Lonchura striata: one gene and its partner. The protein of the gene in region 1 purifies or fractionates together with the protein of each later gene. This does not show direct contact. Links are inferred from orthologs where the notes say so. Each region holds a gene or a part of one and is shown on either strand. Other genes may lie near its edges.

What was found.
Region 2: the proteins of EHMT2 (region 1) and CDYL purify together in Homo sapiens (affinity purification with mass spectrometry; 4 studies listed by BioGRID and IntAct, with this or other methods). This does not show direct contact. The link is inferred for Lonchura striata from reciprocal best matches to the Homo sapiens genes EHMT2 and CDYL.

The regions. Positions count from the first base shown.
Region 1 is NC_134631.1:95,051-111,221, forward strand, and holds the start of EHMT2 (histone-lysine N-methyltransferase EHMT2), read left to right. Parts: upstream 1-9,859; coding exon 9,860-9,883; intron 9,884-10,069; coding exon 10,070-10,115; intron 10,116-10,911; coding exon 10,912-11,098; intron 11,099-11,810; coding exon 11,811-12,114; intron 12,115-12,237; coding exon 12,238-12,316; intron 12,317-12,630; coding exon 12,631-12,719; intron 12,720-13,364; coding exon 13,365-13,484; intron 13,485-13,858; coding exon 13,859-14,011; intron 14,012-14,813; coding exon 14,814-14,922; intron 14,923-15,936; coding exon 15,937-16,038; intron 16,039-16,171. UniProt on the Homo sapiens protein: Histone methyltransferase that specifically mono- and dimethylates 'Lys-9' of histone H3 (H3K9me1 and H3K9me2, respectively) in euchromatin.
Region 2 is NC_134603.1:94,244,863-94,261,251, forward strand, and holds the start of CDYL (chromodomain Y-like protein), read right to left. Parts: upstream 7,548-16,389; 5' UTR 7,139-7,547; coding exon 7,115-7,138; intron 1-7,114.

The DNA of each region.
Region 1 (16,171 bases):
CCCAGGGGGGAAGTGGATCCGGTTCCTACGGGGGTTCCTCGGGATCCCAGGGCAGACCGGGATCCTATGGGGGATCCTCGGGATCCTATGGGGGATCAGGATCCTATGGGGGATCCTCGGGATCCCAGGGTAGACCGGGATCCTACGGGGGAGGATCAGGATCCTCTGGAGGAATGGGATCCTATGGAGGATCCTCAGGATCTTATGGAGGATCGGGATCCCAGGGCAGACCGGGATCCTCTGGAGGAATGGGATCCTATGGGGGATCCTCAGGATCTTATGGAGGATCAGGGTCCCAGGGCAGACCGGGATCCTACGGGGGTGGTCCAGGATCCTATGGGGGATCCTCGGGATCCTACGGGGGATCCAGCTCAGGGTCCTACGGATCTGGATCCGGAAGGCCCGGATCTGGATCCGGATCTGGATCAGGAAGACCCGGATCGGGATCGGGCAGACCCGGATCCCAGGGGGGAAGTGGATCCGGCTCCTACGGGGGATATTCGGGATCCTACGGGGATGATGTGGTGTCCTACGGGGGAGGATCGGGATCCTATGGGGGATCCTCGGGATCCCAGGGCAGACCGGGATCCTACGGAGGAATGGGATCCTATGGGGGATCCTCGGGATCCCAGGGTAGACCGGGATCCTATGGGGGATCCTCAGGATCCTATGGGGGATCAGGATCCCAGGGCAGACCAGGATCCTATGGGGGAATGGGATCCTATGGGGGATCCTCGGGATCCCAGGGTAGACCGGGATCTTACGGGGGTGGCCCGGGATCCTACGGGGGATCAGGATCCCAGGGCAGACCAGGATCCTATGGGGGTGGTCCAGGATCCTATGGGGGATCCTCGGGATCCTATGGGGGAGGATCGGGATCTTACGGGGGTTCCTCGGGATCCCACGGCAGGCCGGGATCCTACGGAGGAGGATCGGGATCCTCTGGAGGAATGGGATCCTATGGGGGATCCTCGGGATCTTATGGAGGATCAGGATCACAGGGCAGGCCGGGATCCTACGGGGGAGGATCGGGATCACAGGGAAGACCGGGATCCTACGGGGGTGGTCCGGGATCCTATGGGGGAATGGGATCTTATGGGGGATCCTCGGGATCCTATGGGGGATCGGGATCACAGGGCAGGCCGGGATCCTACGGGGGAGGATCGGGATCCTCGGGAGGGGATTGGGGATCCTCCGAGGGGGGCCCGGGCTCCTTCGGGGGATCCTTCGGGGGATCCCGGCAGCGTCCCGGCTACAAGAACCCCGGGATCCCCTTCGTGCCGGGGCTGCGGGACCCCGCCCGCATCGGGGGGCACATCCCGATCCGCCGCGGGCCGGGATCCGGTCAGGGATCGGGCCAGGGGTACGGGCTGGGATCCGGTCAGGGATCCGGTCAGGGGTATGGTTTGGGATCTGGTCACGGATACAGCCAAGGATCCGGTCAGGGATCCAGGCAGGGATCTGCCCTGGAATCTGCCCAGGGATCCCGCCCAGGATCCGCCCAGGGATCCGCCCTGGGATCTGCCCAGGGATCCAGTCAGGGTTACAGCCAGGGATACAGTTCAGGATCCGGTCCGGGATCCACCCAGGGATCCGGGCCGGGATCCGGGGCCGAGGACGAGGCCGGGGGCGGGAACGGCTGCGGGGGGTGCCGGAAGTAGGGGGGGGATGGGGGGAGGGGTCCTGGGGGATCCGGAATGTTCCGAGCGGATCCCCGAAGATCCCGAAGGGTCGGAGCCGGGATCGGGAGCGGGGATGGGGGAGGGGGGGCCGGAAATGGGGGGGAGGGGTCTGGGTGGATCCCGAAGGATCCCAAATAAAGGCTTGGATTGGGCCCAGCCCCGTCGCTGTGGTGTGGGACTGGGGGCACTGGGAGCACTGGGGATACTGGGAATGGGGGACTGGGGATACTGGGAACACTGGGAATGGGGGCACTGGGAGCACTGGGATGGGGATACTGGGAGCACTGGGGATACTGGGATGGGGGACTGGGGATACTGGGAATGGAGGCACTGGGAGCACTGGGGATACTGGGAATGGGGGACTGGAGATACTGGGAATGGGGGACTGGAGATACTGGGGAGATACTGGGAATGGGGTACTGGGAGCACTGGGAGCACTGGGGCCACTCTCAGTCCCGTCCCTGCCCCTCCCCCACTCCAGGCATCCCCTCCCCCCAAACCAGTGCTCCCAGTACGGCCCCTCCCCCCCAAACCAGTGCTCCCAGTACGGCCCCTCCCCCAAACCAGTGCTCCCAGTGCTCCCAGTACGGCCGGTTCCAACCACAAATTTGGGGGGACACGCCCGGGGTGGGGGAGGGGCACACCTGGAACCGCTGGAATTTGGGGGTCACACCTGGAATTCCCAGATTTTTTTGGGGGGTGCTCACCTGGATTGTCCGAAATTTTGGGGGGGGGGGGGGGGAATCACCTGGACTGTCCCAAATTTTTGGGTTTTTTTTGAACACCTGGAATGTCCCAAATTTTGGGGGGGTGTCCCCAAAACCTTCCCCCCCCCCCCCCCCGCAGGGAATGCCGGGAACTGAGTCACAGCCCCTCCCCCGCCCCTCCGGGAGCCTTTAAGAGCCCTCCCAGTGCTCCCAGTTTGCTCCCAGTTTGATCCCAGTTTGATCCCAGTGTGAAGAGGAGGGACCAGGCAGCGCTGCCAGGTACTGGGAGGGACTGGGAGCAAACTGGGGGAAACTGGGAATGAACTGGGTGGGGCTGGTGTGAACTGGGAGCAAACTGGGGGGAACTGGGAATGAACTGGGTGGGGCTGGGGTGAACTGGGAGGGCCTGGGCTGAACTGGGAATGAACTGGGATGAATTTGGAATGAACTGGGAGGAACTGGGAATGAACTGGGATGAATTTGGAATGGACTAGGAATGAACTGGGAGGCACTGGGATGAACTGGGAGGCACTGGGATGAACTGGGAGGCACTGGGCTGAACTGGGACCGAACTGGGAGGGCCTGGGCTGAACTTGGCTGAACTGGGAATGAACTGGGAATGAACTGGGAATGAACTGGGAGGCACTGGGCTGAACTGGGAGGAACTGGGAATGAACTGGGATGAATTTGGAATGGACTGGGAGGCACTGGGAATGAACTGGGCTGAACTGGGAATGAACTGGGCTGAACTGGGCTGAACCGGCGCTCCCCTCTGTCCCCTCCCCCCCCAGCCATGGCCGAGCGCCCCTCCCCCGCCCCGGGGCTCCCGCTGGCGCCGTGGCCGCCGCTGCCCGAGTGGCCGGGCCGCGACCGTCGCGACAGCGGCGACAGCGGCGACAGAGGAGGAGATGGAGGAGGAGATGGAGGAGGAGACGGAGGAGGAGATGGAGGAGGAGACGGAGGAGGCGACAAAGGAGGAGGCGACAGTCGCGACAAAGGAGGCGACAAGGACACCGCCCCGCCCCCCGGAACGCAGGGGACAGGGGGACGGGGGGGACGGGGTGACAGCCCGGACACCCCTGGGTGTGCCCCAGGTGTGCCCAGGGGTGCCCAGGTGTGCCCCAGGTGTGCCCCAGGTGTGCCCAGGGGTACCCCAGGGGTGCCCAGGGGTACCCCAGGTGTGCCCAGGTGTGCCCAGGTGTGCCCAGGTGTGTCCCAGCGATGGCACCGCTGTCCCTGACACCCCTGAGAGCAATAAAGTCCCCAAGGAGCGTCACCAATTGTCTCCAGGTGCCCCCAGGTGCCCCTAAAGTGTCCCAGGTGTGCCCAAAGTCTGCCCAGGTGCTCCAGGTGTTTCCCAGGTGTGCCCAGGTACCCCTAAACTGTCCCCAAGGTGCCCCAGGTGTCCCCAAGGTGCCCCCAGGTGTGCCCAGGTACCCCTAAAGTGTCTCCAAGGTGTGCCAGGATGTCCCTAAAGTGTCCCCAAGGTGTGCCCAGGTGTCCCCCAGAGGTGCCACCGCTGTCCCTGACACCCCAGATGTCCCCAGGTGTCCCCAAAGTGCCCCCAGGTGTCCCCAGGTGTCCCCAGGTGCCCCCAGAGGTGCCACCCCCCCTCCCTCGTGGCTCCCGGGGCTGATTTTGGGGTTTGCCCATTTTTCTGGGAGAATTTCTGAAGATTTTTGGGCGGATTTTGGACTTTTTGGACGAATTGCGTCCACTCTTTCAGACAAACTGCAGCTGACTTTTCGGGTGGAATTCAGTGATTTTGGGACAAATTTCGTGCAAATTTGGGAAGAATTTCTCTCTATTTTCCGACCATTTTGGACCGATTTTTGGGCAGTTTTTTCACCATTTTTCACCATTTCCTGGCCACTTTTGGACCAATTTTCTGCCCATTTCTTCCACCATTTTTTTTACCATTTTCTGACCGTTTATTCCACCACTTTCCCCACAGTTTTTGGGCCACTTGGCCATTTCCTCGCCATGTATTTCACCACATCCTGACCTTTTTTTTCACCATTTTTTCTTCCTTTTTTCACCACTTTTGACCATTTTGGACCTTTTACCGCCGATCTTTCCACCACTCTTTTTCACCATCTTTCCACCGTTTCCCGACCGTTTTCGCACCGATTTTAACCCTTTTTTTTGCCCATTTTTTCCCCCATTTTCTCCCCCGTTTTCCCCGCCCTTCCCCGTCCCCATGGCAACGGCGCCGCGCGCCGGTGACGTCACGCGGTCCGCCCGCATCCCACAATGCCCCGCGGCGGGAAGGGGGAAGGAGGGCGGGGAGGGGTCCTCCAGTATCCCACAATGCCCCGCGGCCCCGCGGGGAAGGGGGGTCCGCCTGCATCCACAATGCCCCGCGCCGCCGCCGCCGCCGCTCGCTGCCCGGGCCCGCCGCTCAGCCGGTACCGGGGGGGATGGGCACGGCCCCGGGGGAGGGGGAGGTGGGGGAGGGGAGAGGGAGGCGGTGGGGGGGGAGGGGTTGTGTGTGTGTGTGTGTGTGGGGGGGGGGGGGTTTGGTTCAAGGGGGGGGCGCGGTGACGTCACGGCGCGGCCTTGGCGCGCGCTCCCCCCCCCCGCCCCCTCCCCCACCCGCTCCCTCACTCCCCTCCCCCCCCTCCGTCCGTCCGCAGGTGCAGCCACGTGACTCCCGGAGCCTGCCCCACCCCCCCCCAGTGCTCCCAGTAACTCCCAGTAACTCCCAGTGACCCCCCCAGTGCTCCCAGTAACTCCCAGTGACCCCAGTAACTCCCCCAGTGCTCCCAGTAACTCCCAGTAACTCCCAGTGACCCCCCCAGTGCTCCCAGTAACTCCCAGTGACCCCCCCAGTGACCCCCCCAGTGCTCCCAGTGACCCCCAGTGACCCCCCCAGTGCTCCCAGTGACCTCCAGTGACCCCCCCAGTGCTCCCAGTAACTCCCAGTAACTCCCACTGACCCCCCCCCCAGTGCTCCCAGTAACTCCCAGTGACCCCCCCAGTGCTCCCAGTAACTCCCAGTGACCCCCACTGACCCCCCCCCCCCCAGTGCTCCCAGTCCCTCCCAGTCTGTCCCAGTCCCTCCCAGTTACTCCCAGTCCCTTGGCAGTTCCCTCCCAGTCCATCCCAGTCGCTCCCAGTCGTTCCCAGTGCCCATAATTCCTCTCCCAGTCCCTCCCAGTCCCCATAACTTGGCTCCCAGTCCCTCCCAGTCTCTCCCAGTCCCTCCCAGTCCGTCCCAGTCCCCATAACTTGGCTCCCAGTCACTCCCAGTTCACTCTCAGTCTCTCCCAGTACCTCCCAGTGCCCATAACTTCCCCCCCAGTCCCCCCCAGTCCCCCCAGTCCACTCCCAGTCCCTCCCAGTCCCGCCAGCCCCCCAGCCCCGCCGGCGCCATGTCGTCGTGCGCCGAGGTGCTCCGTTTCCAGCTGCCGGGCCACGAGGCGGCGGCGCTGCGCTCGATGACGCGGCTGCGGGCGGAGGAGCGCTTCTGTGACGTCACCATCGTGGCGCGCAGCCTGCGCTTCCGCGGCCACCGCGTCATCCTGGCCGCCTGCTCGCCCTTCCTGCGCGACCAGTTCCTGCTGAACCCGGCGGCCGAGCTGCGCGTCTCGCTGGCCCACAGCGCCCGCGTGCTGGCCGACCTGCTGCTCTCCTGCTACACGGGCGCGCTGGAGTTTGCCGGCCCGCGACCTCGTCAACTACCTGACGGCCGCCAGCTACCTGCAGATGGAGCACGTGGTGGAGCGCTGCCGCGGCGCGCTGGCGCGCTTCATCCAGCCCGCGCCCGCCGCGCCCGCGCCGCCGCCCAAGCCCGAGGAGGACGAGGACGAGGAGGACGAGGAGGACGCGGCGGGCGACGTCTGCATCGTCAAGGTGGAGCCGGCCACGCGGCGCCGCGGGCGCAGGTGGCCGGCGGTGACGGGCGGCGAGGCGGCGCAGAGCGGCGCGGCGGCGGCGGCGGACGGCGGCGCGGCGCGGCTCGGCGTGGTCAAGGCGTGTTACAGCCTGGCCGAGGACGCCGAGGGGGAAGGTTTGGTCATCTTCCCCGGCGGCGGCGGCCGCGGGCGGCGCGGGCGGCGCCGAGGAACCGCCGGGCGGGCACGCCGGCGCCTCGGCGAGCGCCGCGGCCTCCGCGGCGGCACCGGCGGCACCGGCGGCGCCGGCGGCGGCGTCGCGGTGCGGGAAGTGCGGGGAGAGCTTCCAGGGCGTGGAGAAGCTGGTGTTTCACATGCGGGCGCAGCACTTCGTCTTCATGTGCCCGCGCTGCGGCAAGCAGTTCAACCACAGCAGCAACCTGAACCGGCACATGAACGTGCACCGCGGCGTCAAGTCGCACGGCTGCGGCGTCTGCGGCAAGAGCTTCACGCAGAAATCCACCCTGCACGACCACCTGAACCTGCACAGCGGCGCCCGGCCCTACCGCTGCTCCTACTGCGACGTGCGCTTCGCCCACAAGCCGGCCATCCGCCGGCACCTCAAGGAGCAGCACGGCAAAACCACGGCGCAGAACGTTCTGGAAGCCGGCGGCGCCGAGGGAGGGGTGCTGCTGCGGTGACGCGGGGCGGGGGAGGGCCCGGCGGGGTGGGGGGCGGGGGGCGGGGGGGGTTTGGGGGGTGCTGGGTCCTCTCCCGGGTGAGGAAGGGGGGAGGGGTGGGGGGAGGGGCGGTGAGGGGTGGGGGATGTGCAGGGAGTGACCGCTGCGGTGGTGGGAGTGACCACGGAGTGACCACTGAAGTGGTGGGGAGTGACCCCCCCAAAGTGGAGCAGAGTGACCCCAAAGTGGTGAAAAGTGACCCCAAAGTGGAGCAGAGTGACCCCAGAGTGGAGCAGAGTGACCCCAAAGTGGTGCAGAGTGACCCCAGAGTGGTGGGGAGTGACCACTGGACACTGGATCCCTGCTGGACACTGAGGGAGTGACCGCTGGGGTGGTGGGAAGGAAGTGGGAGTGACCACAGAGTGACCACCGAAGTGGTGGGGAGTGACCCCAAAGTGGTGCAGAGTGACCCAAAGTGATGAAAAGTGACCCCAAAGTGGTGAAAAGTGACCCCAAAGTGGTGCAGAGTGACCCCAAAGTGGTGCAGAGTGACCCCAGAGTGGTGGGGAGTGACCACTGGACACTGGATCCCTGCTGGACACTGAGGGAGTGACCACTGGGGTGGTGGCAAGGAGGCCACAGTGGTCAGGAATGACCCCAAAGTGACCCCAGAGTGGTGGGGAGTGACCACTGGACATTTGATCCCTGCTGGACACTGAGCTGGTGACCGCTGGGGTGGTGGCAAGGAGGTCAGAGTGACCATGGAGTGACCACCAAAGTGGTGGGGAGTGACCCCCAAAGTGACCCCAGAGTGGTTGGGATTGACCACCGGACACCTGGACCCTGCTGGACATTGAGAGTGACCACCGGGGTGACGGTGGCGACCTCAGAGTGACCCCCAAAGTGACCCCCAAAGTGACCCCTGGACATGTGGACACCGTGACCCCGAGTGGGTGACCCCCGGGGTGATGGCAACGAGCCCAGAGTGACCAGAGTGACCACGGAGTGACCAGAGAGTGACCAGAGAGTGATCACAGAGTGACCAGAGTGACCACGGAGTGACCAGAGAGTGACCAGAGAGTGATCACAGAGTGAGCAGAGTGACCACGGAGTGACCAGAGAGTGACCAGAGAGTGATCACAGAGTGACCAGAGTAACCATGGAGTGACCAGAGAGTGACCAGAGAGTGATCACAGAGTGAGCAGAGTGACCACAGAGTGACCAGAGAGTGACCACAGAGTGACCATGGAGTGACCACGGAGTGACCCCTGGACACCCAAATCCTTCCTGGAACAAAGTGGGGAGACCCAAAATGGGGAGGAACAATGACAAAATCAGGGAAATGACCCCAAAATGAGGAGGAATGACCCCAAAATGGGGAGAAAGGACCCCAAAATATGGGGAAAGAACCCAAAATGGTGAGGAAGAGCCCCTGGGTGACAAATTTTGGGGTTCCTGGGCCACCTGAGTGACAAATTTTGGGGTCCCCATTGAAAATCCAGCTGGAAAAAACAGGGAAAAAACCCAAAACCGGCAAAATTTTGGGGATTTTGGGCAAAATGAGCTGAATAAGGCTGATTTTTTTGGGGGCATCCCCCCAAATTTGGCCTCTCTGGGTAAATTCCGGGGCTCTCAAGGTCTCGGGGGATTTTTGGGGGGTCCCCCTTGATGTTTTAGGGATTCCTCCCAGATTTTTGGGGACTCCCCTGATTTTTTTGGGGATTCCCCCAGATTTTTTGGGGGGTTTTGTAGATTTTAGGATTTGGGGACCCCCTTAGGTTGTAGTGAGGGGTGGGGGAGGGGAAGTTTTTGGGGGTGGGGGAGGGATTTGGGGTGGGGGAGGTGACCCCAAAATTGGGGTTTTTTGGCGGGGGGTTTAGGGGGTAGAAAGGAGAATTTTGGGTCCCTTTTGGGGGATTTTGGGGGGGGGGGTGAGACCCGTTTTGGGGTGGGGGAGGGGCGTGGGACCCCTCCCCCAACCCCGGAGGTTTTTTTTGAATTTTTTTTTTTTTGTAATAAATGGATTTTGAAAAAAATTTTAAAAATGGGTTTTTAGTTGTTTTTTGGGATTTGTTCATTTATTTTTGGGGAATTCATTTTTTGTGGGGGTTTCTTTATTTAATTTTGGGATGTATTAATTTATTTGCAATTTATTTTGGGGGAATTACTAATTTTTGTAGGAGTTATTTATTTTTTAGGGTTTTTTTTCTTTTGCATTTATTTTTTGGGATTCATTTTGGGAAGATTTATGAATTTAATTTTTTTGGATTTATAAATTTGTATGGGACTTACTTTGGGGAATTTATTTTTTGGCATTTATTAATTTTTAGAGATTGGTTAATTTTTGGGATTTATTAATTTTTAAGGATTAATGACTTTGACATTTGATTAATTTTTAAAATTTAGTTGTTTTTGGAGGATTTTTTCCATTTTTGGGCATTCATTAATACAACTTTGGGGGTTTATTAATTTATTTGGGATTTATACATTTTTGGGGGGGTTTATTATATTTTAGAATGTACTAGTTTTTGGGGATTGGTTAGCTTTTATTGATTCATTAAATTTCTGGGATTTTTTTGGGCAATTTCTGAATTTTTATGAGTTTTTCACTTTTTCGAATTCATTAATTTTTGTCCTTTCCTCATTTTCGCGGATTTATTCGTTTTCAGCGCCATTTTTTGAGCCCTTTCGGGACAATTTGGGGGGTCCCGAACCACCAGGACCCCCCAAAATTCACATGGGCGTGGCCTAAACACAAAGAGGCGTGGCTTAAGGCAGTGGGCGTGGCTTAAAACGAGGGGAGTGGCTTGGCTCGGTGGGCGTGGCTCACAGCGAGGGGGCGTGGCTTCGCTCGGTAGGCGTGGCCAATCCGGCAACACAAAGCCCGCGCGGTGGGCGTGGCTTCGCCCATAAAAGGCGCTACGCGCTGCGTGCTGACGTCACCGCGCGCGGCGATGGAGGCGGCGGGAGGCGCCGAGGTCTGAGGGGAGGCCGAGCCGGGGCCGCTCTTTGGGGCGTTTTCGGGCGGTTTGGGGTTTTTTTTGGGGGGTTTTGAGAGGTTTTGGGCATTCGGGCGGTGGCTGTGAGCGGGGGGAGGGGCGGGGTCCGCTGGGGGGAGGGGCGCGCCCCTCACGGCGCTCTCTGCCCCTCCCCCTCCCCCTCAGGACCCTCCCGGCGGGACCCTCGTGGTGGAGGCGGCGGGAGAGGCCGGTGAGTGACCCCCCCCAAATTCTTATTCGCACTTTGGTCTCCACTGAGACCCCCCTGAGATCCCCCTCAGATCTGCCTCAGGATCCCCAAAATTCCAATCAGGATCCCAAAATTCCAATCAGGATCCCCAAAATCTCCTCAGGATCCCCAAAATTCCAATCAGGATCCCAAAATTCCAATCAGGATCCCCAAAATCCCCTCAGGGTCCCTCAAAATCCTCTCAGGATCCCCCAAAATCCCCTCAGGACCCCCCAAAATCCCCTCAGGATCCCCAAAATCCCCTTAGGGCCCCCCAAAATCCCCTCAGGTTCCCCAAAATTCCCCTCAGGATCCCCAAAATCCCCTCAGGATCCCCAAAATCCCCCTCAGGATCCCCAAAATCCCCTCAGGACCCCCCAAAATCCCCTCAGGATCCCCAAAATCCCCTTAGGACCCCCCAAAATCCCCTCAGGATCCCCAAATTCCCCTCAGGATCCCCAAAATCCCCTCAGGATCCCCAAAATCCCCCTCAGGATCCCCAAAATCCCCTCAGGACCCCCCAAAATCCCCTCAGGACCCCCCCAAATCCCCTCAGGATCCCCAAAATCCCCTTAGGACCCCCCAAAATCCCCTCAGGATCCCCAAAATCCCCTCAGGATCCCCAAAATTCCCCTCAGGACCCCCCAAAATCCCCCTCAGGACCCCCCAAAATCCCCCTCAAGACCCCCCGAAATCCCCTCATGACCCCCCGAAATTCCGCCCAGACCCCCCCAAAATGCCCCAAACCCCCCCTGACCCCCCTTTTCTCCCCCCCCAGGGCTCCCCCCGGGCAGCCCCTCCCCCTGTGACCCTCCCCCCCCCGGCGGGACCCCCCCCACAGCCGGGGGGGCCCCCCCGGACGAGGAGGGGCCGGGGGGGGGCGGCCCCAGCGATGGGGAGGGGGCGCAGGGGACCCCCCCCGGGGGCGGCAGCGGCTCCAAGGGGCTGCCAGGTGAGGAGGGGGCGTCTGGGGGGGATTTTGGGGGGGCTGGGGGGATCTGGGGTGGGTTTTGGGGGGTCTGGGATGGGTTTTGGGCGAGTCTGGGGCAGTTTTGGGGGGTCTGGGGCAGTTTTGGGGGGTCTGGGATGGGTTTTGGGGGAACTGGGATGGGTTTTGGGGGGTCTGGGGTGGGTTTTGGGGGGTCTGGGGTGCGTTTTGGGTGGTCTGGGGCAGTTTTGGGGGGTGTCTGGGGATTTTGGGGGTCTGGGGCAGTTTTGGGGGGTGTCTGGGGATTTTGGGTGGTCTGGGGGCGCTTTGAGGAGGTTCTGGTGGGGTCTGGCAGGATCTTGGGGACCTGGGGTTTTTTGGGGGATCTAGGGGGGTTTGGGGGTTTTTGGGGAGGGTCTGGGGGGTTTGAGGGGGTCTGGGATGGATTTTGGGGGGTCTGGGGCAATTTTGGGGTGGGTCTGGGGATTCTTGGGGGGATTTGGGGGGTTTGGGGGTGCTTTGGGGGGTTTGAGGGGGGTCTGGGATGGATTTGGGGGGATCTGGGAGGATTTTGGGGGGGTTGGTGACATTTTGGGGGGGGTCTTCATGGCTTCTGGGGTGTCTGGAGGAGATTTTGGGGGGATCTGTTAAATTTTGTGGTGGGGGGAAATCAAATTTGGTTTTTAAATCAACCTGGGGCTGTCTCTGAGCTATTTTTGGGGGGGGTCTCCCCTTTTTCTTGCCCTCAGGCCACGCCACCAAGACCCTGCCGGGCTCCCCGATTTTGGGGGGCGATTTTGGGGGTTCTCCTCCCACCCCCTGCCCCCCCCCAGCCGTGCCAAAATGTCCCTGACGGGGGCGGGGGGCGGCAAAACCCCCCCGGGCCAAAGCCTGGCCCTGCGCCTGCTCAGCCTGCCGGGCTCGGGGGGTCCCGGGGGTCGCCCCCCACCCCGGAGCCCCCCCAGAACCCCCCGGAGCCCCCCCCAGAACCCCCCCGAGCCCCCCAAAATTCACCGAGCTCGCAAAACCATGGCCAAGCCCAGCAACGGACAGGTACGGGCTGGCTCTGGGGGGGTTCTGGGCAGGGGGTGTCAGGGGTTTGGGGGGGTCTGGGGGGTCTGGGGGTTTTGGGGGACCCCCGCTGAGGGTTTGGGGGTGTTTTTTGCCCCCCTCCAGGTGCCCGAGAAGCCGAGGATGTCGGAGATGCTGCACTTCAGGGTGTCCGAGGAGCTCTGCGGGATGGGGCAGCACCACGGTCTGGGGGGGTTTGGGGGAATTTGGGGGGGTCCTGGAGGGGATTTGGGGGGTCTTGAGGAGGTTTGGGGAGTCCTTGCGGGGTTTGAGGGGTGTTGGGGAGGTCCTGGGTGGGTTTGGGGGGTCCTGGGGAGTCCTGGAGGGGTTTGGGAGTGTCCTGGGGAGGTTTTGGGGGGTCTTGGGGAGGTTTGGGGGGTGTTGGGGGATCCTGGGGGGTTTGGGGTGGTTCTGGAAGGGTCTGGGGGTTCAGATTTGGATCTGGGGGTTCAGATTTGAGTCTGGGGTCTCCCTGACCCTCTCTCTTTGCCCCCCCAGACACCCCCAAACGCCCCAAGCTGGATTTTGGCTCCGAGGGGCTCCACAAGCGGCTGCAGCAGCGCCCCAGCCCCCGCGCCAGCACCGAGGTACCCAAAAATCCCCCAAAATCCCCCAAATCCCCCCAAAATCACCCCCAGGGACCCTGCAGCGCCCCAGCCCCTGCACCAGCACCGAGGTACCCAAAACCCCCCAAAATCCCCCCAAAACCACCCCAAAAACCATCCAGGACCCCCGCAAATCTCTCCAGAGCCCCCCAAATGCCCCCTTAACCCTTCCAGGATCCCCCTAATCTCCCCCAATCCCCCCCAGGACCCCCCAAAATACCCCCAAAATCCTCCCAAATCCCCCCGTGCCCCCCAGATCACAGTGATGGAGGAAATGGCTGCCCCCGAACACCCCCAAATCCCCCCAGACATCCCCAGATCCCCCAAATCCCCCCAAAATCCCCCCAAGTCCCCCAAGCATGCCCCAGGACCCCTCAAAATCCCCCCAAATCCCCCCCAAATCCCCCCCAAATCCCCCCCAAATCCCCCCCAAATCCCCCAAACCCCCCCAAATCCCCCAAATCCCCCCAAACCCCCCCAAATCCCCCAATCCCCCCAAACCCCCCCAAATCCCCCCCAAACCCCCCCAAACCCCCCCAAATCCCCCCCAAATCCCCCGAGATCCCCCAAACCCCCCCAAATCCCCCCAAATCCCCGAGATCCCCCCAAATCCCCCGTGCCCCCCAGATCACAGTGACGGAGGAAATGGCCGCGCCCCCCCGGGACTGGGACTCGGAGGGGGGAGGGGGCTTCTCCCTCTTCTACGACGGCTTCAGCGTGGATGGGCACGGGGACTCGGACAGCAAGGTACTGGGAGGGACTGGTTTGTACTGGGAGGGACTGGGAGAGGGGCTGGGGGGACTGGGAATGGAAATCTGGGGGACTGGGATGGACTGGGAGGGACTGGGATGGACTGGGAGGAACTGGGAATGGAAATCTGGGGGACTGGGAGGGACTGGGAGGGACTGGGATGGACTGGGGGGAACTGGGATGGACTGGGAGGAACTGGGAATGGAAATCTGGGGGACTGGGAGGGACTGGGATGGACTGGGGGAACTGGGATAGGCTGGGAGGGACTGGGAATGGAAATTTGGGGACTGGGATGGACTGGGGGACACTGGGATGAACTGGGGGGTGCTGGGGGGCTCGAGACCCCCCGACTCAGCCCATCCCCTGCTCAGTCTGAGGGGGACGGGCCGGGCGAGGCCCTGAGCGAGGAGGAGGAGGAGGAGGAGGAAGAAGAGGAGGAGGAAGAGGACGAGGAGGAAGAGGAGGAGGAGGAGGAGGAGGAGGAGGAGGAAGAGGACGAAGAGTCCGGGAACGCCTCGGATCGGGTGAGGGGATTTGGGGGGAAATTTGGGGCTTTTGGGGAGGATTCGGGGCAGGTTTGGTGGTTTGGGGGGGTTTTTGGGCAGTCTCAGGGGTTTGGGGGCCATTCTGGGGGATTTTGGGGCACTTTTGGGGGGTTTGGGGTCATTCTCTGGGGTGTTTGGGGCCCTTTTGGGATATTTGGGGCGTTTCTGGGGAGTTTTTGGGTCTGTTTCTGGGTTCTTGGGGCCTTTTGGGATATTTGTGATTTTGGGCTGTTTTTGGGTCAGTCTCAGTGTTTTTGGGACGTTTGGGGCGGTTTTTGGCTCAGTCTCAGTGTTTTTGGGGCTCTTTTGGGACATTTGTGATTTTGGGGCTGTTTTTGGGTCAGTCTCAGTGTTTTTGGGGTGGTTTTTGGCTCAGTCTCTGGGTTTTTGGGCCGTTTTGGACATTTGTGATTTTGGGGCTGTTTCTGGCCCCGTCTCTGCGTTTTTGGGGCTGTTTGGGGCTGTTTTTGGCTCAGTCTCTGGGTTTTTGGGCTGTTTTGGGACATTTGTGATTTTGGGGCTGTTTTTGGGTCAGTCTCAGTGTTTTTGGGGTGGTTTTTGGCTCAGTCTCTGGGTTTTTGGGGCTCTTTTGGGGTATTTGTGATTTTGGGGCTGTTTTTGGGTCAGTCTCTGCGTTTTTGGGGCCGTTTGGGCTGTTTTTGGCTCAGTCTCCGGGTTTTTGGGGCCGTTTTGGGGTGTTTGTGATGTCGGGGCTGTTTCTGGCCCCGTCTCCGCGTTTTCGGGGCCGTTTTGGGCCGTTTGGGTGATTTTGGGGCCCCAGAGCGCGTGCAGCGCGCGGCGCCGCGGGCGGCGGCGCTGGAAGGAGAGCCCCTGGCTGAAACCCGCCCGCAAGAGGAAGAGGAAGGACCCCCGGGGGGGCAAGGACCGAGGTGGGACCCCAAAACCTGGGGGGGACCCCCAAGTGGGGAGGGGGACCCAAAAAATGGGGAGGGGTATCCTGAATTGGGGAGGGGAATCCCAAAGTGGGCAGGGGATCCCTAAATGGGGAGGGGGACCCCAAAATGGGGAGGGGGACCCCAAAATGTGGGGGGGACCCCAAAGTGGGGAGGGGACCCCGAAATGAGGAGGGGCACCCAAAAAATGGGCAGAGGGATCTGAAAATGGGGAAGGGTACCCCAGAATGGGGAAGGGGACCCTGAAATGGGGAGGGGGATCCAAATTCGGGTGGGGATTGGGACACGAATTTGGGGAGGGGGGGGGGTCTCCAGGGAGGGAATTTGGGGAGGAGAGTTGGGACAGGATTTTGGGGAGGGGGGGATTGGAGTGGGGATTTGGGGAGGGGTCCCTGGGAGGGGATTTGGGGAGGGGTCCCAGGGGATTTAGGGAGGGGTCCCAGGGAGGGGATTTGGGGAGGGGTCCCAGGGGATTTAGGGAGGGGTCCCAGGGAGGGGATTTGGGGAGGGGTCCCAGGGGATTTAGGGAGGGGTCTCCATTGAGGGGATTTGGGGAGGAGAGTTGGGACAGGATTTTGGGGAGGGGGGATTGGAGTCGGGATTTGGGGAGGGGTCTCCATGGAGGGATTTTGGGGTGGGGTCTCAGGGAGGGGATTTGGGGTGGGGTCCCAGGGAGGGGATTTTGGGGAGGGGACTGGGGGAGGGGTCTCCATTGAGGGGATTTGGGGAGGGGTCCCTGGGAGGGGATTTGGGGAGGGGTCTCTGGGACAGGATTTGGGGAGGGGTCCCAGGGAGGGGATTTGGGGAGGGGTCCCGGGGAGGGGAATTTGGGGAGGGGTCTCTGGGACTGGATTTGGGGAGGGGTCCCTGGGAGGGGATTTTGGGCAGGGGTCTTGGGGATGGGATTTTGGGGAGGGATCCCAGGGAGGGGATTTGGGGAGGGGTCCCCGGGAGGGGAGTTTGGGGTCTCTGACCCCCCGTGCCCCCCAGGCGCCCCCGGCCCCCCCGTGGGCCCCCCCAGCGAATACACCGAGGTGCCGCTGGGCTGCCTGCAGCTGCCGGGGGGAGGGGCCCTGAGCCCCCAGCCCCCAGGTGAGGACACGCCCTTCCGGGACACGCCCCTTTGGGGACACGCCCTTCCGGGACACGCCCCTTCCGGGACACACCCACTCTGGACACGCCCTTCCGGGACACGCCCACTCTGGGACACGCCCCTTCCGGGACA
Region 2 (16,389 bases), on another chromosome or scaffold:
CGCAAAATGAAAATCACAAAGAGAGAAGAGAAAAGAAGAGAAAGAGAAGAGAAAGAGAAGAGAAAGAGAAGAGAAAGAGAAGAGAAAGAGAAGAGAAAGAGAAGAGAAGAGAAGAGAAGAGAAGAGAAGAGAAGAGAAGAGAAGAGAAGAGAAGAGAAGAGAAGAGAAGAGAAGAGAAGAGAAGAGAGAAGAGAAGAGAGAAAAGAAGCTCCTTCCCTTTCAAACCAATATATTAAAAAAACAACAGAGTTTTGATTTTTCATGTGCTACTATGACAATCAGCAAAAAACAAACATTAACAATTTCCTTAAAAAGCATAAGACACTGTGGGGGCAGAAAAGTTAGAGAAGCACAGCTACAAATGTGGTTAGGCCACTTCAATACATACTTTATCTTTCCCCACAAAAGAAGTGAAACAAACCCTCAGACTTAACATGGGAAGAAGAAAGATTTGATCTGAGCTTTACTAATTAATTGTATGTATTGTGATAGTAAAATGTGAAGCCTCACTGAAAAATCACAACAAAACTGAGTTACAGTAGTTCCACTATTCAATACAACTAATTTACAGTTAAAAGAGACTTAGAAAATAGTTGCCTTACTTTACAATTAATCCTACCAATGTGGCTTTGAAGTAACTTAAAAATGTAAACCTATGATTAAAATATGCTTTTTAATCAACATCCATCCTGTGTATTCATACATATTAATAGATGCCTTGAAAAATATCTGCCACAGGTCACCATTAAGGACCACATGTAAATCTTCTGAGGATGTTTATGAAAACAGTAAATATTTTTGCCTTTACAGTGTACTGCCAGTAACATGCCAGATTTCCTTTCCTCTAAGTAATATGGAGAGAAGTTCAAAGGAATAATTTCAAAAAGCACAAAATTCTTGTGTGTAAATATTAAAAGCTCATCAGAAATCAGAAAAATAAAAGCTCTTCTTAGATCCTACAGCTCTGGAAAATACAATTGATAATATAAAATACTGAAATTTTAAGATATTTTCTGGACTAACAGCATACTGTCAGAGAAACCACATGGTAGGATGATAGGTTGATATTGTGAATTATAAATATTTTTTTTCTAAGATTAAAAATATAATCAACTCTGTATTTATTGTCCCATACTATCTATCATGTGGCATCCAGCCATTCAAAACCTCAAAGACACAGAAGAGAACAGGGAGAGACTTGTGCATCCCTTTTTACCCTGCAAATACGGTTTGTGGAGCTTGTGCTTCTAACAGATACACAAAAATAATACACTGCCCAGTAACAACAGATTTTGAATTTATTACAGAAGAATAAGAGTGGCATTATAGTGCTGCTTATCTGTTATATCCAACAGGTCTGCACATCCAGTTATCACATAGTCTGAATGAATCACATAGGTTGAATAAGATGAAAGCATAACTGTTAGTAACTTGGTTTTTTCTACTGCTTTGGCACAGATCAGAAATGCTGCGGCAGTCAGGAAGAAATGAAGCTGCACCTACTAGGAAGTCTAAAAGGGACAGAGCATCACTGATTTTATTCCAGCTATGCCAACCTTCCTGAAGAACAAGGGGCTGTGGCATGTCTCATTAAGTTCTTTGTGTCCGATAATTTATCTTCATTCAAGAGGTACTGAGCATCAGCATTGTGGAAGCAACCTTCTGTGATAGTACAGTCTTGCAAGTTGGAAGTAGTTGTTCTTTAACTCTAAACGTGACTGGCACTGCAGTAATAAATCTCTGATTGACCAAAAACTCAAGAAATTAAATCACAGTAAAAGACAGACTGTGAAGGTTAGGTATTATCAGAGCCGCGCAGGCTTTATGGATGAGGCGTCTCTTTCCCACTTTTTCTCTCTTCCACCGTTTGTTTTTTTTTTCTGTGATAGACATGAGCAATTCAAAATAAGTAATAGATTAAAAATAAAACCTTTTATTTACTATACTGATTTTGTACACGTACATAGAAAGGAGTTTTGTTCATAAAACTTGCTAAGATATCTCCGTATCTGTGAACCATTTGTGTTCCACATAGGGCACAGACAGACGTTCACTCTTTGCTTGCATGTGTTTGAGCTCACCCTGGGAGCAGCCTTGCCAGGTCAGTGGCACCATGAAGGGCAGGGCACACTGGAGAAAACCCCAGGGGCAGCTCAGGCACTTCCCCTGGAGCAGCAGCAGCAGACAGGGCACTAGTCCCCAGTTTTGTCCAGAGTTCTGGGGCTAATCAAGGTGGTGAAAAGCAGCTTGGCAAGGGACATGGAAAAGTCAAGTTTCTTACACTAAATGTGATGGCTCCATTCCTGCAGTGCTCTTGCATTCGTGCTTTGGTTTAAAGAAGTGAAAGTCACCCATGGAAGTTGAACAGCTAATCCTCAACTCTGTTTTAAATCAGAAGTGTAGTTCCTAAGGGGTGGAAGCAACACAAACATATCTGATGTAAATTCCTAGTCTTACTTAGTTGGGTAGGGTCAGTCAAGCAAATTTGTGTATTTTATCTCTCCTGAAACAAGCAGTAACATTTCCAACAGTTGTCAAAATAAACTCATAAAAATTCAGGCATTACACCTCAATGACTGTAAGTTCCTCCTAATGAACAAGATCTTTAACCAAGGTCTTGGGAATCAGCACATCAGAAACAAGCAGCAGAAGACAGATCCTAAGACAATCTGGAATTCCTGCACAACAGGCTGAATGAAAACAATCCATTTCAATGAGGAAAAAAATGGCTATTGCCTGAACAGCCAATTCTAATTTGTTGTTAATAGTAATTTTTCATCAAATAGCCATCAAAAACTACAACTCTAAGCTGCATACTGTAGATAATGGATTTACCCTTTCAGTTAACTTAGGTAAAACGAATGTTTAAACTTTCCAGTAAATGCACACAAAACATGATGAAGATTCCATCGCTGCAGTGTTACTAGGGCCGTGAGAGAAACTTTGGGTTTAAGTAATTCCTATGCAGCATCAAATTTTTGACAAAGTGACAGCATCTTCCAACAGCCTTCTTTCTACACGCTATTGTTTAAAAAACTATGCACACTAGATGAAGAACAGCCCACAGGACCACTTTTTTTGACTTGTGGGCAACTACTCTATAGACAAAGTTTAAATTTTCTTGGAATACGTCTCTTTGGGCTTACTTATTAGGTGATTAAGCCTGACACATAGCTTAATGCCAGGCTGTAGAACTTCAGCCAGTTGCTCCTGAAATTTGTTTCAGTTTGTAATTTCACTGTATCTGTATAATTTAATGTCAAAGGCTTTAGTTCTAAAAATAAAACCAAAAGTACTGAATCATCATTGGAGTGAAGTATCACCTTGAGAATACTAGACAACAGTATGAAAAAATGCGTATGTTTTTTGCAAGGCAATGAAAGAATTAAAAAAAATATATTTTCCATTCTATAAAGGATACAAAAAAATTGTAATTTTGAAGTAATGGACTTTCAATATGTTAATTTGTAATATTTTAATGGAAATTGGTTAAGACGCCTTAAAACACTAGGTTTATGACCAATGCCAATGTGAAAAACAGAGTGAAGAGAAGGCATCATGGCATAGGTGCACCAGCAAAGGTCACACAAACTGTTTTGCTTACTTATCAGTAAAATCCAGTAAAAATGTTTTGACATGAGTAGCAATCATGGCCTAAGCCTAGCCAGAGGATCCAGTGGGCCACATATATTATGGGTATCAGCTGTACCAGTAGCTCCCTGAGGAAAGGCAGAAATACTCAGTAATTTGACTAGATACACTGTCCAACAGCAGAGAACATCAATGCATTTCCACCTCACCTAATACAAAAACAAATTATTAAATTTTATGAGAAAGAGACTCTTCCAAACTCAGCACAGCTTAGTAGTTGTCTACCGACCCCGATTTGGTACGTCTGACCTGCTGGCTAGCACGCAGTTCTCCCACAGAGCACTTGTATGGAATCATTTCCACATTTCATCAAACAAACTTGCCATGCCAACCACAACTCGGGATGACTTCAATCCCAGACATCACTTGCAAGAGTTTGCCAAAGGAGGTCAAGGGATTTGACTGCAGAGAGAGCAAACATAGTTTGCTTCCAAAAGAACCTTGGAAATGAGGTCTACTTCTAATTACTCTGGTGAAGATGACGAGAACAAGTAAAAATGTTTAGTGGGAAACAGGTCAGTAAGTCAAAGGAAAGTTGTCACACTGAAGAAGAAAGTAACCCTACCATTTGCCCGAAGGCTGTACAAAGGATTTTTCAAAAACTACACTAAAAAATCGCAGCAGGCACATACAAAAAGAGGTGCCACAAGATGACAATGCCTGTTGAAACAAACTTGGGGAAATAAAAACCCAATGCACCTTTTCTTACATTTTCCGTCACCTATCTTGCTCACCAGCCTCTCCATGTCTGTCCACCTCACTAGCAAACACTTTGTCCCTTGAAGAAACAAACTTGAAAACAGAAAAAGGTTATTCACCTCATGTACAGAGACTGGCAACATTACTGACTGCTGCATTTTCCATCTAGGCAAAAAGAGCCTCTTCAATGTTTCTACCCCAGCAAAAAAAAAAAAAAAAAAAAAAAAAAAATAGTGGGTAGTCATCACCACCTCTAAAATGCATGGGAACAAATGACATTGAGGATACACAGCCTGCCCCAGTCACACTGCCAATCTATTAGTAGATTTCAAGGTTTTGATCTTTGAATTTGAAATCACTGGCCTACATAGAGATCAGCTCCCTCTCTTAAGGGATGACACCCATAATAAAAAGAATCCCATAAATAAGTGAATCCATTAGGATTAAAAAAAAAAAATCTACTTACCTTAATTTTTTATAAGCAGATTTTTCATTTGTATTTTGGAAGAACCATGACACATATCAGCAGAAATAGTTGGCATTCATACTTAAGCTAACAATTGCAAATAGATTACACAACATTTTTTTGATCAAGACACTAGATCAAGATCCAAAAGGAAAAATGGAAGTATAACAAATGGCAGCAGATTTCAAACACCAGATTCAAACAATATTGAGCATGAGCTATAAATAAGACAACCACGAAACAGAAGTAAACCCACCGTCAATAGCACAGGCAGTTCACAAAACAGTTTAAATTTCTTAATAAGTAACATTTCAGGTCAACTTGCAGCTTTGTCCTTCCCAAATTAGTGCTCACTGTATTTAAATAGTTTATTATTTTATAATTTTTCAGACATGGCTAGAAAATTCATTATAAGACAAAACACATCCAAAATGAGTAACAATTTAGAAAAAAGAGCTTGACCACATGTGAGTCCAAAAGCATTAACAATTTTGGCATCTTAGCTAAACTTTGCACTTGCACGATTAAAGAATGTGTCTGATTTTTAAAATTTAATAGTATCCCTTCAGGTGTTCTTCAAAAGCGGCTTTTGTGCAATGGCCACTACACCACCTGCCCACAGGACGACTGTGCCCCACAGACTACTGAGCCAACAAGTCAACATTTTGAACACAATTTAAGACAGCCAAGAAGAGTCATGCACAACGGTCATTCTTAGCCTCAGTCCAAGGCCCGGCAAACAGAATTTTCCAGGTCATTTATTTGCGCCCATCAAAACCAGTACCTCGTGTCCATCTTTGATCTAACACAGCAACACACAAAGAGCAAGAATTGGCCGCGGCACAGTCTACAGGCCCAACTCCACAAACCCAACAGAAACTTTTCCCAAAGTCAAAGCAAGTTTTTGGCAATCCCTCAAGACACAGAGTGGTTCCTAAATTTCTCTCCTACTTCTAGGGATGATCCCTTCAAGATTGGCTTAAGCTACATCGTGAGGATGGGGAAACATGCCAGATCAATTAACCATGATTTATCTGCCTTGGGAGTACAGGCCTTCGGTCTTCTTTCTAGTCTATCAGTTCAGCACCTCTGCTTGACAGTCAACTTGCTTAAAATACAAGCCCACCTGGGACACCTTCCACTGACTTCTACAGGGTCTGTTCCCCAATGGCATCACAGATGTAGCTCAATTAATGAGAGATACATGTGCACCAGCTGTACAGCAAGACATCTTCTGTCAAGTGTCCTGAAGGCTATCTGTCTCCTTTTAACCTTAAGAGTTCCAGCCTCTGGATACATGTTTTAAATAGATCACTGTCTAGATGCATATTAAATATCAGATAAGAGCATTTTTGGTTTTGGGAAGCCACTTCTCTACCCAAAAGGCAAGAACAGCTCCAAAACAACAATGGCTTTTCACTCCCGGGGATGACTTCTTGCAAAAATAAAAACAAGGAAGTTCAATCCAAGAGAACCATGACGCTTTTCAATTAAGGGCAAGGATGTGAATTTGACAGACATTAAGATAGGAAACTCAAAAGTTAGGCTGCCACCTTGTTCCCTTCTTCACCCCAAGACCTTCCTCTCCCGTCAGCACACGCTCTGACCACCTCCCGAGTGACGAGCGAAGGATGGCGTGTCAAAGCCTTAACTTTCAATCTTTTTGGCTTCTCTCGCAACCTCAACCCTATCGTTGGAGCACGAAGAGCCGAGGAGTTTAAATTTTAGTCTTTTGCACCGCCGCAGCTTGCTGCACGGCCAAGGCACACGATGGTGGCACAGGACTTCGGTATGGACACAAATCCAAGAGGAAAGCCCCTCTGCCCTCCTCCTCCTCCTCCCCCGCCCCCCCCGGCCCGGACAGAGGCAATAACTCGGCTCCGCTCACATTTTTGCACAGCGCCGGGCTCGCACTTCGACGTGCTCGCTGCCGGGGCTGTCAGCGCTGCTCGCCCCATCCAGCACCCCCCGTTCTCCTGACGGAGTCAAAGTGTTGTGTGAACGTGGGGAAAGGACTGGGGGGAGCGCAGGCCACGGCAACACTTTGCCGTCTCCTCCGTTCAGTCACATTTCCGTCCTCCTCCAGTAAAACTGGGGAGGGAAGGGGGGGCGGGGGGCCAGGCTGGGCACACACGCAGGCGCCGGGCCCAGCGGGAAGGGGCAGCAGCCGCGGCAAGTGTGGGTGACAAGCCCGGCGGCGCTCCCGGGGAGCAACAAAAACGCGCCCGGGTGCGCCGGGGTGGGGTGGGGTGGCCGGCGGGGCCGGGGGCAGGGCCGGTGGGGCTCGAGGGCTCTTACCTCGTAGAGTTCCTCGGAAGCCATGCTGTGGGAGCCTCACAAGGTGGAGTTGGGTGCTGGTTTGGAAATACTTTTGTTTCAGTTGGTGTCCGTTTGGCCTCCTCCTTCTCTTCTCCCTCCTCTTCTTCTTCTTCTTCTTTTTCTTCTTCTTCTTCTCCTCCTCCTCCTCCTCTTCCCCTCCTCCTTCTCCTCTTCCCGTCCTCCTCCTCCTCCTCCTCCTCCTCTTCTTCCTCCTCCTCCTCCCTGCGCGTCTCTCTCCAGCGCAACTAGCAGCTCCGCTCGTTAAATGCCAGTGAGGTGCTCCTGTTCCTGCCCCTGCTGCTGCTGCTGCTGCTGGCGCTGGCGGCGGCGGCGGCGGCGGGGGGGGTGCGCGCACGGCAGCTGCGCAACTCGCTCGCTCTCTCGGCTCGCCCTCGCACAGCCCGCCGCGCACGCACCCGCGCGCGCGCCCGCGGGAGCACGCAGCCGCGCGCACCCGCGCACACAGAACTCACACGCGTGCTCGCCCCCCCCGCCCCCCCGCACCCCTCCGGCCGCCGGCGGCTACACTCGCTCGCTCCCTCCCCAGGAACACTAATCGAGCGCAGAGAGACACACGCGAACCACCGCTCTCCGCCCCGCCGGCTCCACCAGCCGCCCCCCCCCGCCGCCGCCGCCGCCCGGCACCATCCTCCTCCTCCCGCTCCTTCTCCTCCTTCTCCTCCTCCCCCCACCCCATCCCGGCTTTGATCTCCCATTGTCTGCTCAGCTGAGCCCGGCGGGGGCGCGCGGGGGTCGGCGGGGGCGCGCGCCCGGGGCCGCGCCCGCGAAACCGCGGGTGATGGGAGCGGGAGGAGCGGGCGGGTGCGGGGCTGCGGGATGTGCCCGCGGGACGGACGCGGAGTTTGGAGCGGGGCGGTGCTGGGAGGACGCGGGGCCCCACGCACGTGCAGGGCCCTCGTCACGCCCCCGAGCTCCCGCCCGCAGCCCCCCGTGGCCGCCCCGCCGCGACCCTCCGCGTTCCAATGCCCGCGGGCTCCACCAGCGCCCGGTCCATCGCCCTGCGGTAGTGCCATACATAACGCGTCTGCACGCGCTTCTTCCCCGTCCCGACTTCCTTGGTTGGATGCCTTTGCCGTAAAAGAAACTAAACAGCCCTCGACGGAGGCTGCCAACACCGGATATGTGCCTTCCATCTCCCGGCTGACCGTGTTTGCCAAGCCGGGAAGGCCCCGCCAAGGCCTCCGTGGGATGATGGGCCAACAGAATGTAGCTGAACTGTTGACCTGCTTATGAGTCCATCCCTAGTTACACGACAGAACCTGTTCTTGGCACCTGGTGTGTCATCTGGGGGTGCCTCACATGAGGTGCTGTGGAGCTAGCCATGGACCTGATGAATGGAAGGCTTTGTTATGCAAAGGTAGATGTAAGAGTTACTTCTTTGAGAGAAAATTCTTCAAGGAATAGTTTCTGATCTCAAAGGGGCTGAAGACTGGGACAAAACCAGTGTCAGGACAGGAATGCCAAGCTGTGTGCTCTGTCATACCACATTGTTTTTTCCAGCAAGTGTTTCCTATTCCGTTCCACACCAGGGAGCCGTTCTCTGCCACAGAACAGCACAGGTTGGCGTAGAGTTCCTCGCATTTGTGTAATCAATCAAGCTATTGAGTCAACTCATTTTTGACCAAAGTTTTTACTTTTTCCTTCAGTGTCTTTCAAAGGTCTTCCTAAAAAAAATGTTCTCAAATGTTCTACTTTGATGGACGAGTTTTGGACTGTCGTCCAGCAGATAGTCATTCAGAAAATGTTGGTCCATTTATGGGCTTTGGATGATTTATGTAGAAAGAGCTAGAGATTCCTTTCTCAGACTTGATTAATCTGCCCATTCCTTATGACAAATATGTCAATGTCTCCAAGGTCAACATCCTTCATTTGGACAACTGAAATTCTATACTGGACTTCGAGATGGACGTCATTTGTGCAGATAAAATATCTAAGAACTTGCATAGTTTTCGTACTTTCCTGATCTTCTAACTAGTCTACAAAGAGATTTTTAATCCACTCCTTGATATCTTTAAGGACTAGGTTTAATCTAAGCTGGTGAAAGAGGGGGTCCTTCAGTGACAGGAGCAGGATCATTGGTGGAAGGATGGGCCTACATACAAAACTAAGATGGTTAAGATTTAGTAAACTCTGTGATTGCCTTCTGGAGATGAGCATTTAATTGCCATCCCTAAGGGGTGGGCCGAATCCTCTTTGAGCTGTACACAGAGTAATGTCACTGTTAGAGCCTCCCTTTGAAGGACAGCCCTTGAAGATAATCAGTATTCACATGATAGCAAAGAGATGGCGGCAGTGATTGCTGAAGATGTTACTTTGCAAAGACATAAAAATAGAGCATCTTGATCTGTACTAAGGGTCTCACCATTGCAGTAAACTAGTTCTTAAGCAGTTTGATTTTCTGGATGGTTCAAAAGAAGTACTGTTGATCAGTACTTCTACATTTGTCGTATCTCAAGGAAAGAGCCAAAATTCAGTTAACTCTAGTTTTTAGTGTTCTGACCACACTCCACAATTCAGCGAAATAATTTCTTCTTTTACACATATTCATTGCTTGCATTGCCATTAATTCTTTTTTGCGTTCCATTCTAACCTTTTGTCCTTGTTGCTTGGTAAAACTTTTCAGGAGAAACAATCACACTATTCAAAAATACCATTTGATAGTGTTGTGGTTCAAGCATCTGAGAGGTACTAGGTTTTTGTGATGGGTTTTTGCAGTTGGATTTTGTTACACAAGGTTAGCTTGCTCTCATCTTGCTTTCTCTAGAAAAAAAAAATCAAGTTGTCCAAATGTTGCATGATGAATTGTTGAAATCATTGTTTCTTTCTTACTTCTTAAGGTGTTCCATGTGTTCCTCATTGTAGGCAGGACACATCAAATTTCAACAGTATTTTGTTTGTTGAAGCCAGCCTTACTGCCAACTTCCTAAATGGCTTTCCTAACATTGCATGTAAATATCTCCAGAAGAGAAGCTATATGGAATGCAGTAATGGAGCAGTCTACGAAGACTGGAAAGCCAGACCAGTTTGAGTTCTGACAGTGGCAGTAAGTGTTTTCAGAGGTGGTTGAACAGCCTCAGTTAATGCACCTTGGGAAAGAACCAGGCAATGTCAGCCAGGCAGGAAGTTTTGCAATGTGCATACAGAGCTTCCAGTTTGAAGTGGACAATTGCCCTAGTGGTGCTCCTGGTAAAGTCAGGAGGACAATTGTTCTGTTTAGCTGAATAAAGAATGTTCTAATTTGTGGGCGAAATACAGAGCATGGAATCAAGTTCCTTTGAAAGGTCAACTCAATTTTGACCTCTTTGTGTGCCACTGTAATGTCTACAAAGATCGTCATAGGTGGTGGAACAGCTGAATTTGAAATAGTTGTGGTGGTAGGTCACAGCTAGCTGAAACCTTACAGTATTGAAAATATCATGGAGATCTGTATTGGATGGGAATGGATCTACATATCTAGAATTTGCTCTAGCAAAGGGATCACAGAAGTATTTAATATGCAAGGATTTACCCACAAGATCATAACTTTGATAATAAAGTGACTGTCAGTAGCTTCTGTTTGGTTATATTAAGCTGATTATCTGCCTTTTAGTATTTGGGAGTAAGGCTTAGGAAGGAAGCATTTAGTCCTTGAGATGCAGCCAGTGATTAACTGCAGGATTTCAAAAGGCGGGATTGATATGGCTAAATGGGATGGTCTGGTCTGTGCTGGCATTAACACCTCATCCAATCATCCAATGCACTTTTCACAGTTAAAGGAAAGATAATCAGCATCATTGGTGGAATTCCCAGCATGATTCATCTCATCCTAATGCAGATGCCTATGTCTAGTCAGCTGAATCTAAGTCTAAATTTCATTTTTCTTGTTGACTTTTTTTTAATGATCAGAATCATGTCACCTATTCTGCAACTGCTTAGAGAAAGTTGAGATTAATCCTACTCATGTTTCTGTAACCCAGTCTTTCTTGGTCTAAGACAACTGGATGATTTAAAATTCTGTAATGGCCAAGTTATGTTGACAGTTTTGGTCTGAAATGCATAATATCCCTTTGCACCTAATATTTTTTCTCTCCTAGTTTGATCCTATGTTCATTTGCCCACAACTTCTGGGGTGTGGCTCATTCTTGTAATTTGTTATTCTCTGTAAATTCTTTCCCTCTGAGTTTCCTCACTTCTTCCTCATCTCCATCTCAGTATCTTGTCTTCTAAGTGGTCTGAGATGTTTAAGTTAAAAATGAGAAAGAGAAATGATAGAAAAAAGTATTTCTTGCAATGTGTACTTCCCACACTCCAGAGCTGAGAGTTATGTTTCCCATTTTGTAATGGGTGCAGTTTCAAGAGAGGTCATTTCAGGAAGATAAAAGTTTGATAGTTTTTAGACACATGGAGGAAAGTGGAGTCACTTGAAGAATCAACTGTTGAACTAGATTCTTTACATGAAAGTCTGGGAGAGAGGACCTTCTATTTCTCTAAACTACTGAGACATTCCTTCCATTGATCTGAAAAACATTGATTCTAAATTAGATTAAGACAGTAACAGAATCCAGTTTAAATAACTGGAGAATGGAATGGCAATATTTACACTAATATATTCTTGGTAATTTTTTGGACTGAAAAAAAAGGTATTTAGTTCTTTATTGATAAGGACAGTTTCCCCAAATTTTTGCTTTGAAAGAATGTGATCAATACACCACCGTTTCCTTGTGGAGTTCAACGACAGACTCCATGTCTCCAGTTTTTTTAAGAACCAGTAATTTTTCTTTGCAATATGCCCATTAAATAAGGGGGGGATTTTGATATCCATTCTCTACCCATTTAGAACTAATACATGACATTACTGCAAATATTGTCAGAGTTGTCCACTGACTTCTGACATTCAATTAAAGAGGCCTAGATTTAAAAACTTAATAAAAGATAGTATATTTTACTTTTAAAGTAGCTTTTTAATTGATATTTCTTACAGGTGTAAATATTAGATGGTTTTGTACCTCTGGCTAAATACCCAATATCTTGTATTGGCTTTCCGAAGTAATATTTAGAATCTATGCTTTACTATGCTTTAATGGCTTGCTTAGTGTCAAATAGAAGTTTTACAACAGAATTAGAACTAAATTACATGGGACAGAATGAAGTTTTATCTACAGGACCTGCTTTTCTCTTTGTGCATTCTCCTGACACTTTCACCACCTGCCTTTCTAGTTCTGCTACACTTGAAACTGGAATCTTACATGCAGCAGCTTCCATCCATAACAGACATAGATACCCCTGACTATGGATGCTGTGAAACCAATGCTGACAGAGATGAGATCAATATGTTTACATCCCCGGTTAGTCTACATATGTTCTGCATATTTCTGATTTATTCCTAGAAGAGGATTTTTGCCTTGAATGAGGCAAAAGCACAATGGAAAAGGCAATTTGAACAGCTGATCACAGAACAAACATAGAAAATGAAGATGTACCAATACTACATAACTTAAAATGATTTTATGTTTAATAGTCTCAAACTGGACATCTAAAATAAAAATAATTTTGTGCAATTGCATTGCTTGCCCTTTCAGCCCACCCTACTGGTCACCAGCAGTGTTTAGTTGTTTACATCCACATCAGAGATAAAAACTTTTAGCTACCTCCTTGAACTCCTTGGCTCTATTCAAAGTAGTACTGTCATACCACTGGAATGAGCTTCCCTTGCCTTGGTGAGGATAAGAACAGGTTTATAAAAGGACTAAGAAAACAAAATCCTAGCTAAATAGTTGGGTTGGGATGGGAGCATGGAGTAAAGATGAAGGATAATTTTATCCTTATGGAACACTTTAAATGTCTGATCAGCCATAACAATTTGCTTTTTCTCATAGTCAATGTAATGATCATTATGAAGAGTGCATTACCTGAACATTAAATTAGGGAATGTCCTCTTCAGTTTTGAAAGGAGGTGTCATAATCTAAGAAAGCTGTAGGTTGAGGACTGATGGAAATGTAGGTACTGTATCTGAAAGACAGGCATTCTTTGCTTTTCTCTTTGATTTTGTAATTTGTGTTCTTATGACTAAGTACACTTTAGAATGAGTAAGTACGTGGAGAACAGGGACATCTGAAATTCTATGTTTTTACAGAGAATGCAGAGAGCCTTACAGATTTTTAATGAAGTACATGTTCTGCTACAGCTCATGCAGGATATTTTTCATAGAGAACTTTGGGTTTTATTCTGTTTATGGGTATAGTATTTACAGGTTGACTTTTCAAGAGTGTAAATATCTCCAGCATTTTTTTTCTCAACATGGCCTATCAATCTTTTCCAAATACTATAACCAGTGTTTTCCAATGAAGAGAATGTTAATTTGGGTGGTAAACTGTTAGCTGTTTTCCTTTAGGAAAATAAAGACATTTGTAAACATTGAGAAAGAACAGGGTGTTTCTTCTGATAATTAGAGAAAGACTGAAAAACATCTTTTTTTTTCCATTCAGATGAGAAAAAAAAAGTCTCACAATCTTCTTAAAGAACTGAAAAAGGAAAAACTTAACAATGTAAAGCTATCTTCTAAAGCAATAGAAATGCCTTTTTATGAATAAACAATATGAAATCTATGGGTTTTTTTCAATTTGAAGATTCAATACCAATATATTGGAAACAGCAATGAGATAGGAAAACAAATACTATAATCAATAATACTAATGACAGAGGGTACAAAACCCAAACTATTCACATTGAAACTTCTTGACAATAGACAATAGTCAACCGCTCCCTCTACCACGCTATGCCGACTCGGAAGGGAGCCCTTCCCCATCCCTGAAAAATTATATGAGGTGGTACAGAATAACCTTTGGGTCCTAGCCATGCCCCTCCTGGCTACTGCAAAAATTACCCCTGTCCTGGCTGGAACCAGGAAAATTTAGTTTTCCTGTAATCATCATAATGTAGATTTTTTCAGTACACTGCAGTGCAGCCTAGTTCTACCAGTACTTCTTACCAGAAGCTTGACTCATATAAGAATATTATGCTAATGTTAGGCTTAGTGCTTGAAAAACTTCACAAAACTGAGCAAGCTGCCTTTCAGCATAGAGAAGGGAAAGTAAAATGTATACTTGATTCATCATTAGCCTGCAGATTTCACTCTGGATTCAATGTAGCCTGAACAAAAATAATAATATATTCTGTAAAGGAAGAGGTGCTAAAGGTAAGGAATCTTTAGTGGCTTATCTTAGAGATGATTCACAAACAGTTCCTTTTTGGAGAAGCATGTTCGTGTCAGTATATAGCTTAGTAAAATTATGACAAAGTGGAAGAGGAAGTGGTCTGAATGCCTCCCATTTTGTTTCCTTTCTGTTGTCTAAAGAACTTACTCATTTGACTGATGGTCCGTGGCTGAATTAAAGACCTTTTGTAATAAATGTGGCAATATGAAAGATCAAAACTATGTTACAGATTCTTGAGACTTATTTAGCACTAGCACTGGAAATTAATTTGTTTCCTAGGGATAGACTATGACAGTATGACCCTTTAAGATAGAAGCTTAAGTCAACAGTCTGCTCCTCCTGGGTCAGTTTACAGATGGAGGTTTTGCAGCTGAGAATTGATGGATCTGAAATTGCAGATTCATGCAATTTTAATCTTTTCAGGTAGCCCCCAGTAACAAAGGCTGGCACATGCAGTCAATAGCCTTGTTGTTTAGACTGACGGCCCTGGGACAAAAGGCCTTATTCCAGAAGTTTGCCTGTATTAGGATAGGCTGAATTCTACTGGATTTTCTCTGTTATATTTTAGCAGCTGCTCACTGGCGATCATTTGGTATCATAATACAAGTTTTGCTATCAATAGACAAGGGTAAATTCACTAGTAAACACTTCACTAGGTTTTGCCATAAAGCCTCTGTTTCATCTTGGACTGTGTTCATTGTCTGTACTCACATAAGGAGATGGTGTTTTAGAAGGGCATGGATATGTTTCTATCAATCTTTCTACAGGAATGTAATGCGGAATGAGTGTTTCCTCTAGAAAGTCAAATACACAAAGTCACAATTACTATCTTTTATTTTGGTATTAATTATTTTGTGTTGCAGAACATACATTATTTTTAAAAGCAACAAAATAAAGTTAATAAATCAAAATTATCTCAACTCATGCATAATCAAACAGAGAAAGTAACTAAATGCCTGTGGCAGTTTTGGTTGATGTTACTGTATTTTTGTCATCTGGCTCACTGAAGTGAGGATAGTTTGAACACAGTTTGTAAAAAACTCCTGTCTTTAAAAGCTCCTCACATCTACCTTTTATAGTCTTACCTAAGATCACTAGGCAGCAATGAGGAAAAACAGTGAGCAAAAGCGATACCAAGACGCTCCAGCGAGTACTCTCTCAAGGAGTCAATCCATTGCCAGGTTGTATTGTTGGCATATCCCAATAACAAAAACTACAAAAACTATTCAAAAAGTAACTACTTTTTTAAACATTGTTCCAGGGAAAAAAGAAAGAAAGAATCAAGAAAACAAAAAAGCCTCAAACCCAACCACCAACTGAATCTTTTCAGATGAAGTATTCCTTCAAAGAATTCATCAAGGGTCATATATTGAAAAGTTGCAATCCCAGTGGTTTAAAGTCAGCAAAGATAGCAATGTAAAATGTCTTTTACTAGAAAGCGTCAAGCAGCATTAACCATAGGCATTACTGTATGTATTGGCTATAATAAAACAGTGTAACAGTCCTCAAAGATACAATCTGAGATCATCACAGGCATGCATAAGCACTACATATTATAAAGTTCTTTAAAAGAAATATGGGATGATGCCATTACTCACAAATAGCATAGTCATGAATTAGTCATGCGGGTCAGCCCTGAGTGCAGAAGATAGTATCTATATATATTATATCATAGTGTTACAGGTTTTTTTCCATATAATACATATATCAGAGATGAACAGTTTGAAAAGTATTTGAAAATTTGTAAAAACCTTATTGTAATTGTTGTCTGAATCTTTTGAACCTGTAAAGGCTGCTCTAATTAACTTGACTGCAATAATTCAAGGTTCAGACGAGATGAAGCCTTGAAAGGAGTATCTGCAAAAGACCTCAGAACTACTTGAAATTGTTTCTGTATATGGAAATGATTCTAAAGTGCAATAAAGGATTTTCTACACCTACAGTCTGGAACACTGGGATTTCCCAAAGGAATAGACTTTTTTGCTAAAAGTTCTGCAGAATGGCAAGGGGAAAAAAACCCTGTCAACCATTAAAAATGT